2 linked regions of the Schizosaccharomyces pombe genome follow. Changing the gene in region 1 together with any one later gene gives a genetic interaction. Each region holds a gene or a part of one and is shown in the gene's direction. Other genes may lie near its edges.

Region 1 (4,768 bases):
ACGAGGCAGTGATTGTGTACTAAATATGATAACTGCTGTAAGACATCAAGATCAAGTGTTAATTGTACTACCGTTTATACAACATGCAGAGTTCCGGGACTTCTATATGAAATATTCTCTTCCAGAAATTGGTGCGTACTTAAGAGACCTCTTGAAAGGGTTGGCACATATAGATGCAAAGGGCATAATTCATCGAGATATCAAACCAGGTAACTTTGCTTGGAATCCTTACACCCAAAGGGGAGTCATACTTGACTTTGGATTAGCTCAATGGCAAGAGGCAGATGCACCTACAGAAAATTGCTGTGTCGATAAATTGAGAAAACTGAAGCAAGAAGGAAAATATTACGATTATTTTCCATTTGAGAAAACGATAGCAGATCCTCCAGAGGGTTACTTGCTACATGATCCAAGGCCTACAAAACGTGCTGACCGAGCCGGAACAAGAGGATTTCGAGCGCCTGAGGTATTGTTTCGATGCCAAAATCAAACATCCTCAATTGATGTGTGGTCAGTGGGAGTCATTTTGTTGTGTTTTTTAACACATCGATATCCTTTTTTCCGCTGTGAAGATGATATCGATGCAATCGTAGAATTAGCACATATCTTTGGAAGAAATGGCATGTCAAACTGCGCATTATTACATGGTAAGTAGTTATTAAACACTTGAGCGTAAAAGTTGAAAAAACGAAGAGAGAAATCGTTTTCTAACCAATGCTTCAAATCTTTTTGAGACAACTTTTGAGGTGCTAACTTGTATTTCTCTCAGGACAAATTTGGTCAGATAACATTCCGACTCTACTAGATCAAAAGCATAATTGGCTAGACCTAATTGCTAGCATTACGAAGAATGATGAGAATTTAATTTTAGAGACAAGCTCAGATTATCAAGTGGCTTTAGCCATTGACTTGTTGGACAAGTTATTAGAATTACATCGTACGTGCAAATCCCAAAAACAAAATACTAGGAAGTGGACTAGGAGGAAAATTCTTAAATGACAAAAAAAAACGCGAACCGAAATGGCCTTTTTTTTATTGTTTCATTCATGGATTGTCTTCTTTTATGATGCTTTTTAGGTTTTTTAACGAAGCCTGGGGCTATCCACTCTGAAACTAGTATCTTGATTTCCAAACTCCAGTTGTATAAAACAACATGGCAGGAATTAATTAAAAATTGAATGGCTAACAATTATCTAGCATCGAAACGAGTAAAGGCCAAAACAGCTCTTCAGCACGAATTCTTTAATGCATGTGGGGTTACCCGGTCAGGATTTGAGGCAGAAAACCCTTTTCGAAGTGATTTCCCTTCAACTGTAGAGCAGTAGACGTGTATCTGCCAAAGATGGAGAAATTTCCACACGTCGGAATTCCATAATATCATTCAAAGTTTTATTTATTGTATCGATTAACTCTTAATAATAATGAATGTCAAAGATAAAGATATTTGAAGTTGCGTGCGTTGCAAACATCTCAAAAACCAAAGCACGTGAGAAAAGCGAATGTGTAACGGTCAAATACTAAGTACAGTAAAAGGTTAACCAAATGAGCAGACTAAATACGAAATGTTTAGATAGGATGAGATGTCTCTGACAAACATTAACCTACTTTAATCGTTACAATGCCTGTAGCGTCAAGTCATTATAGTGGAATCAGCCAACAGATGTGTCAACGTCGTCGAATAAAGTACATAAGAAACAAATCAGCAATTAAAAGTACAATAACCTTAAACTAAGAAAAAGCCGAATTCAAAATAAGCCAATTTCCTTTCTTCATAATGATAAAAGATATTTTCCAAAATGTAAACAAAAGATCGCCGAGAAGTTTCGATCATGAAAAAAGTCAAACAGTCACGTACTCCATTATCCATCTCTTTCAAACTCTTACTGACGTGGGCCATTGCGTGAGTGAAATCACTAAACAGATGATTGCGTATTGTTTACAACGTCACTAAGTGTTGATTGCGCACCGGCTTTCTAATGTGTTATTGTAAATAACGATGTTTTGTTTTTCCAGTATACTCTTTAGCGATAATGTTATGAGAATAGTATGTACACTGACTATCATATTAAAGAGGTAGGTATTGACACCTCTTAAGCTACATGTGTAAAGAGATTGATTTGTGAGCGTATCAAAGGAAAAAATGAAGTGTAATACTGAATAAAAACTACTCCTTTATTTATCTTCCAAGAGATTGAATATATAGGGGAAACATTTTTTTCTTAACTTCACACTAAACCATCTCTAAACAAAAGTCGGGCACCAGAGAGAGTAATGAAGTAGTGTAGGACAAAAGGTGCTATCGTGCGTTAATTATTTTACTGTAAGGATTTAACACACGGTAAACAAACATATCGCCTGATGTCATTATTCGCTTCCCATAGTAATGATGTAAATATGTTATGACGCTGTTAGAGACTTACGTTTAGACATATTGATGGAAAATGCATTTATTCCACCCAAATCTAATACTATAAAAGGACTTCCTTTCCCAACCTAGTTGAGCATCGTTTCACACAAAAATAAGAATTGTTTGTTTGTATTTGGATAATTCTATAGTTTGTTCTCTCTTTTCACAAGACTATTAAATTTTATTTTTTTGCATTGTCCAACCGTCTATTAATATATTTATCAATACTTCCAAAATGTCTAGCTCTAAGGCCAACCAAACCCGTGTTTGTTACCAACCTGAGGATACTACCTTTATTATCATCGCCTCAAACGGTCCCGATGTCATGAGATGGCGCAAGGACAAGACTGTTCCCTTAACTGAGATCGTCGACTCTTTTCAAGTTTTTACAACTAGCAACAACAAAGGTAACGAAGGTCAATTAATTACTGCTTCCAAACAAGAACTTGAGAATACCTTTGGTACTAGCAAGGACGTTGATGTTGTCACTAAAATTTTGACTGACGGAAAAATCATTCCCCATCGTGAACATGGCAAGCACAAAGAAGTCAACTAAATGACTAATTCTACTAGTTGAGGCTAGTTATACCACCGACTTTAATGAGTTAAAACATATGGCCCACGTATATCTATTATAGGTATTCCCATTTGTGTTATATAATGATGCAATCTGACGAAGTACACAATGTCCGCATTCCAACATTACCTGAACTTCATGGCAATTTTTGGAATCCTTTCCCGTTCCTTTGGTAATTATTCGACTTTAATCTCCTATTGCCTCTGACATTGAGTCAAGGGTTAATGTTTGTGTCTTATCTAAGGGACTTAAAGGCATTTGTTATGTTTATGTATGATTATAACTTGCTTTTATGGTTTGGACGTTCTAAAGGCTGTGCGGTTATGTGTATGCTTTACGTTAAAAAAAATCTGTTTTTGTTTACATAGAAATGTATTTATGACTTTTGTTGTAACCTGTTGTTATGGTTGTATGGTGTGTTTCATTTTTGTAGAAAATGCGTAATCATCGTAAGCATAACTTAATTTTTAGCTTTCAGCATTATTCTTGTGTACAATGCAGTGTTATAAGCTAGCTGCTTAATAAATAATTTCAGCCTAGCAACTAATACACGCGACTTTATGATAGACGTATGACATACATATTTGTATATATATAAAATAAATTAGCAACTGTGCTCATTAAATTAAAAGTATCGTTCAGTAAATTAATAAACATTAATAGAAGTCTCCATCATTACCGTAGTTAACTAACTACTCACTCTTTTGACATCCTTAGACTTTACAAAATAATAGTCTTTAATAGCCATCACACTTTTGTACTCATCGGTATTCAAAAAATCAAATGGCGCAATATCTTGAAAATTCCGAAAAAAATCGTAAAACAATTGTAACCACGAATAGACCATTTTGAGTTCACGCTTATTCAACGGAATTCTCCTTAGGGTAGAATCTGTGACTGGAGGCACTAAAATATCTCGAAATGTCTCCAACAAGCCAAACCAAAGCCGCGAAAGCAAGTAAAAAAGAGGTTTCGGGAGCAAGTTTACATAAATCCAATAAAAAAAATCATCTAGCTCTGCCAACAATGACTGCTGCTCTTTTTCACACCGGGCCTGCAACTCGTCCATCTTTTCTTTAGTCTCAGCCTCTGCGTTATCATTTTCGTCTCCATCAAGATAACGCACGAAATCCATTAACCCACTATTTCTTAAGGAATTTCGAATAAATTTACTTAGAGAAATCATCAGTACATTTAGCATTTTTACTTCAGTAACGGTAAGGTATTCCATTTGGGCAAAGCAGTAATAATTTGGTGTTTCCCTCTTCAAGAGCACACGCAACCCAATCAAAATTTGTCCCTTATTAGTGATATCAAGCCAAACATCTTTTCCGTGGCCTTGCTTAAGTTTGTCGGGATCAACTTCTAGTGTTGCATGACCATATACAGTCTCCAATCCAGTGTGTATATTCCTCTGATATATAATTAATTTAAAACGCTTTACGTTTGTAATCTCCATCTGATACGTTTCTTTCCAATTGGGAACTAGCTCGTCATAAACATCTCGAGTATGTACACAAAATTCCGACTCAGGATCTTGGAGCAAAACAGAGAATGAATATGGGGCCTTTGGGGTTACCAAAAGATGGGCCATCTTAATGGAAATTATAACAGTCGCAGATGGTACTTCCATATCTTTAAAGTGCATTACCTTCTCTGTCAATATTTTATAATCAATCCTTTGATGCAGCATTTTTAACCAACCACTCACTAAACTGACGGTATTGATTAGGGTGAATGATTCCCTATACAGCTTCAAAAAATTTGGGTCCCCAGAATGTCTT
Region 2 (4,810 bases), on another chromosome or scaffold:
CTAGCACGCGACAATCTTTTTTCACAAAACCACGCAATTGCCCATCGAAACATGTAAAGACTAAACAAACAAAAATTAGTGAGTGAATTCATGCCAAAGCAGTACAATGCCTAACTATAATGTACGGCAGATGTCAATGCATACCTAAAAACACCTAAGATGTATAGAGAGATTCGAAAAAGCTTAGAGAATAAAGGATGTTGGAACAGGATGGATGAGCGACTTGCCCAAACTGCCATACCAATCGTATAGATTGCCAAAGAGCACACAGTATACCGAAATAAAATCTTTTTCTTTTGACTTTGAATATTATCAATATTATACTGAGCCTCTTCCAGCTTCATCTCCAATCGATCCAACTCCCCACCAAAATCGAACTCCTTCTTCTAATCACATGTTAGTGACTTTGAGCCTCTAAAAACTGAGAAATCCTCCTTTACAAACCTTTTGAAAAAACCAGCCCATGTTAATAAATTAATAACGTCTAACCTTTCAACGACTCACTTGACAATGAATAATTTTTGCTTATGGTTAGGAGAGTCGCAAGTGCTCGTTTCTATGAGAAGCTCTATCCAAATCACGGTTTTGCATCGTGCTATGAAATAACGTTATTAAGTATTACATTATACTTGTTTGCGAATTTTATCGAGTTGTGCTATTTGAAACTATGAGCGCAATCGATTTGCAGCGCGGCCTTACCGAGGGAATCTTACAAAGTGACTTTTGGACGAAAGTTGTGATTTTGCTATTTTGGTCAGATGAAGTAGATTTTTAATTGATTTTGCTAGAAAAAAAAAACCATTGGCTTCACATTTTGAACAACGCTCAGCCTTGAATGATGGCGACTGCAATCATAATAGAGAAGTAAATCAACAAATCTATTCCTTCAAAGGGTACTAAAGCAAAAATGTGAATATTTTTAAATCAGGTATAGGCTTTCACTGCATATTCGCTTTTTTTTTTTTTGTTTCTCTTTTGTATTGCGACAACTTTAGTGAATCGCTTGAAGTAATATTCTGATACACTTATGGGTTTGCTTCTTTAAAATACGATTCTTTTTGCTTTTTGAAATATTTTAATATCACAATCTATTAAATTTTTTAAAATTTTGATCATTTATACGATTATGAACTTTCATGAATCGCACCAACCTTCGTATTCCCGTGTTAGAGATTCAGCGTTCATCAAGAAATTTTCAACTTTCTCTTCAAAACAGAATGGTTAGTATGCCTTTTTATAAAATTCTACACATCCTAGTCATTTACATGTTATTGTTTTAGTACATGCTTATGCAAACGAAAAGAATTGCTTAACCGACTTTTGTTTACCTTATTGCACCTAGCCGATAGCTTAATAATCTAACGAAGCTTAAAAATATTCGACATTAATAATTTCTTTGGTAAAAATTTTATTTGCATGTGTGCGAATGCGAAATTTCAGGATTATATACTAATACCAACATGCTGGAAATTCTTTAAACGCTATCGAAAAACTAACTTAATATAAAATTTTATATCCAAATAGGTCACTTAAAATCTTGCCAAATCGGAGCTTTCTGTCTTACAATAGTTTAAGATATTTTAATTCCATTCATTGAATTCGAAAATCTATTAACATTAGAAAAGAATCGCTTACATGCCATTCTTTTATATTAACAAATCCTTTACAAAAGCCAGTGTAAATAGATGATGATTCATTGAAACTGCTGAATACTTAACATTGCACACGACGCTATTACGCAACGCGTAAAACAAGATAATGTGTAAGCTACGAAGTTTGGTATCTGATTTAAGGATACGTAGAGCTACGGTGAGTTTTCCTTGTGATCTATTATATTACAATACACAGGTTGTATAAGTAGCAACTGAGTATAGGTATTGTATTAACTGGGTTATAATGTTACCTATCACTAATATAGCTCATAACTGAACTGAGGAACGAGATTCAGCAGTAGCTCTATTTATAGTATTCAGATAATATTGATCTTAATAGATTATCATTAAGATCAATCTCCATATCGTATCATACATGGTACGATATATAATTAGAACATGTGACATATAGTGATACACAACGTAGTGTATCATAGCGTAGTGTAGTATTGCTGACATAATGTATGATTTGTGTCGCTATCATAATTTGTTGGTAGATTACTCTCATTGTGTGCATATAGCAATTCATCAAATGCAAGTAGCTTTATTTGTGTTTGATAAAAAAAATGCCATTTGTAATTTCACGATTATGATGCTCATCTTTCATGCTGAATGTATTCATCGTGGATAGCGACTCTAGTACTCTTTGCTGCATATCGTTACTTAAAATACTGTATGTTAACAATATTTCTATCAACGAATAACAAATTTGCGTTATGCGATGCAATTTACTATGTTTGCTGTCCAGTCATGGCAGATATATCATATCGTTTACACGTACAATATCACTCACACCCAAGTATTGGTCTTTCTACAGCCTACTCTTTGTTGTAGTTTAGGAGGAGACTCTCTCTATATATATTTTTTAAAAGAACGTGTATCTGTATGCTACGCTTCTCATATATTTATCAAAGAATTGTTTAAGTTCATCGCTAGATTCTCTCAATCCAACTTTCCTACCATGTTAACCAGAAGTGTGCTGAGAAAAGCACCTCGCGCTTTTTCTCCCTTTTTACAAAAAAGAAATCTAGCTTTACATGAATATATTTCTCATGATATTCTCAGAAAGTTTGGTGTGGACGTTCCTCGTGGTGCTCCTGCTCGGAGCGGTGAAGAGGCAGAAAAGGTTGCTCGTGATCTTAAAGTCACAGATTTGGTAGTTAAAGCTCAAGTTCTAGCAGGCGGTCGTGGAAAGGGCCAATTTGACAGTGGCCTGCGTGGAGGAGTACGGCCTGTTTATGATGCTACAGAAGCGAGAATGTTTGCTGAACAAATGATCGGTCATAAGTTAATTACCAGACAAACTGGTCCTGCTGGAAAGATTTGCAATGTTGTCTATGTTTGCGAGAGGAAGTTTATTCGTAAAGAGTATTACTTCGCTATTTTAATGGATCGTGAGAACCAATGCCCCATGATAGTCGCCTCCGACCAAGGAGGTGTTGACATTGAGACTGTAGCAGCTGAAAATCCTAGCGCTATCATCAAACGATCTCTTCCCAACAGTCCAAATCTTGACCCTCATATCGCAGAAGAACTTGTTGACAAACTCGGCTTTTCCTCTTCTAGCAAGCCAAAGGCCGTTGACGCAATCGTCAAACTTTACAAAGTATTCAATGATTGTGATGCTACACAAGTAGAGATTAATCCCCTTGCTGAAACTACTGATCACAAGGTGTTGTGCATGGATGCTAAGCTGAACTTTGACGATAATGCCGAATTTCGTCATTCCAACATTTTCGTTTTGCGGGACATTTCTCAAGAAGATCCTGATGAGGCTAGGGCTGCCAAGGTTGGGTTGAACTTTATCAAATTGGACGGTAACATTGGTTGTTTGGTCAATGGTGCTGGTCTCGCAATGGCCACTATGGATATCATCAAACTTCATGGTGGTGAACCTGCTAATTTCCTTGATGTCGGTGGTAATGCTAATGCTGAAGCAATTCGTGAGGCATTCTCTCTCATCACTAATGATCCCAAAACTACTGCTATCTTTGTGAACATTTTTGGAGGTATTGTTCGATGCGACGTTATTGCCAAAGGTCTTATCTCGGTAGTATCAGCGTTGAATCTGAACATACCTATTATTTGCAGACTTCAAGGAACCAACCAAGGTGCTGCCAAAGAGGTAATCAACAACTCAGGTCTCCGTATTTTCTCATTTGATGATCTTGATGAAGCAGCTAAGAAGGCTTGTCGTTTCAGTCGCGTTGTCGAAATGGCACGTGAAGCCGATGTGAATGTTAGCTTCGAGCTACCTTTGTAGGCTGCTAATTTTAACGGCTTTAATGTATAATTGTTTACAACCCCCTTTTCTTATTATCATTACGACATACGGCATCATGGAATGATTTTATATAATGACTTGTGTATATAGAATTCTTAGCACAGCTGTTTACCATGTCTTAAAGAAATGGTTTGTTATTTTTCTTCTTTATATATTTTATACACATTTACAGTTATATAGTAGCATAGTTGAACATCGCGATCGTAAACTCGTGTATTTGATACTATACCGATCGACGAGTGCACTTCTTAACAATCCGACGTTTTCTATTTTAGGGGAAATGTTAAATTGTAATAGTTCTACTATGCTCTTAAATTAATGCAATTTTGAATTTTGTTTCCAAAAATAAAACAAATGTTTTCTTTAATGTTCATTAATATATAAACGTTATTACATAGATAATTCATAACTAGTTTTTTAAAACGAGTAGCTTGTTCTCAAATCGAGCAACCTTTCGAATGATCTTCTGTATTCCCAACCGATTTCTGTTGTCGGCTCTAATTTTGCGTTGGAACAGGTGAACTAGATCCTTAATAGAAATGGGACCAGCTCTTAAAGCCTTCATTACCTCTGCCTCCGTAATCAGATTAGAATCTAAAAGCACGTTAATAAATTTTCTGGTAAATGTAAAACTTTAGCATACCATCAATTGGAACATTTGTAGTATCTCCCACAACCTCCACTTGATCTCCTACACTCGTTTCTGTAGACCCCATGCTAGGGACCATACGGGGAAAGTCATTGGCAAACCGTGATAACTTTTCACTTGATAAGCGGAGAATTATATATCCAGGTTTGTTAATAAGTTGTTCTTGAGGCCTTATTTGAATAGAAGTATTAGGTGATTGTAGTTGCGATGAAGCTTTGACAGGAG

The links. A genetic interaction does not mean that the proteins touch.
Region 2: mutations in rtc3 (region 1) and lsc2 together harm fitness more than expected from each alone (negative genetic interaction), as found in Schizosaccharomyces pombe (one large-scale study listed by BioGRID).

What each region holds. Positions count from the first base shown.
Region 1 is NC_003423.3:3,827,525-3,832,292, forward strand, and holds rtc3 (SBDS family protein Rtc3), read left to right. Parts: upstream 1-2,503; 5' UTR 2,504-2,642; coding exon 2,643-2,963; 3' UTR 2,964-3,378; downstream 3,379-4,768. Other genes in the region: serine/threonine protein kinase (DDK family) Spo4, read left to right, coding at 1-647, 770-937, 1,198-1,325; C2 domain protein Git1, read right to left, coding at 3,673-4,768.
Region 2 is NC_003421.2:2,156,986-2,161,795, forward strand, and holds lsc2 (succinate-CoA ligase beta subunit Lsc2), read left to right. Parts: upstream 1-2,443; 5' UTR 2,444-2,613; coding exon 2,614-3,915; 3' UTR 3,916-4,310; downstream 4,311-4,810. Other genes in the region: lnp1 (protein lunapark), read right to left, coding at 1-60, 145-386, 445-465; transcription factor TFIIF complex alpha subunit Tfg1, read right to left, coding at 4,346-4,530, 4,580-4,810.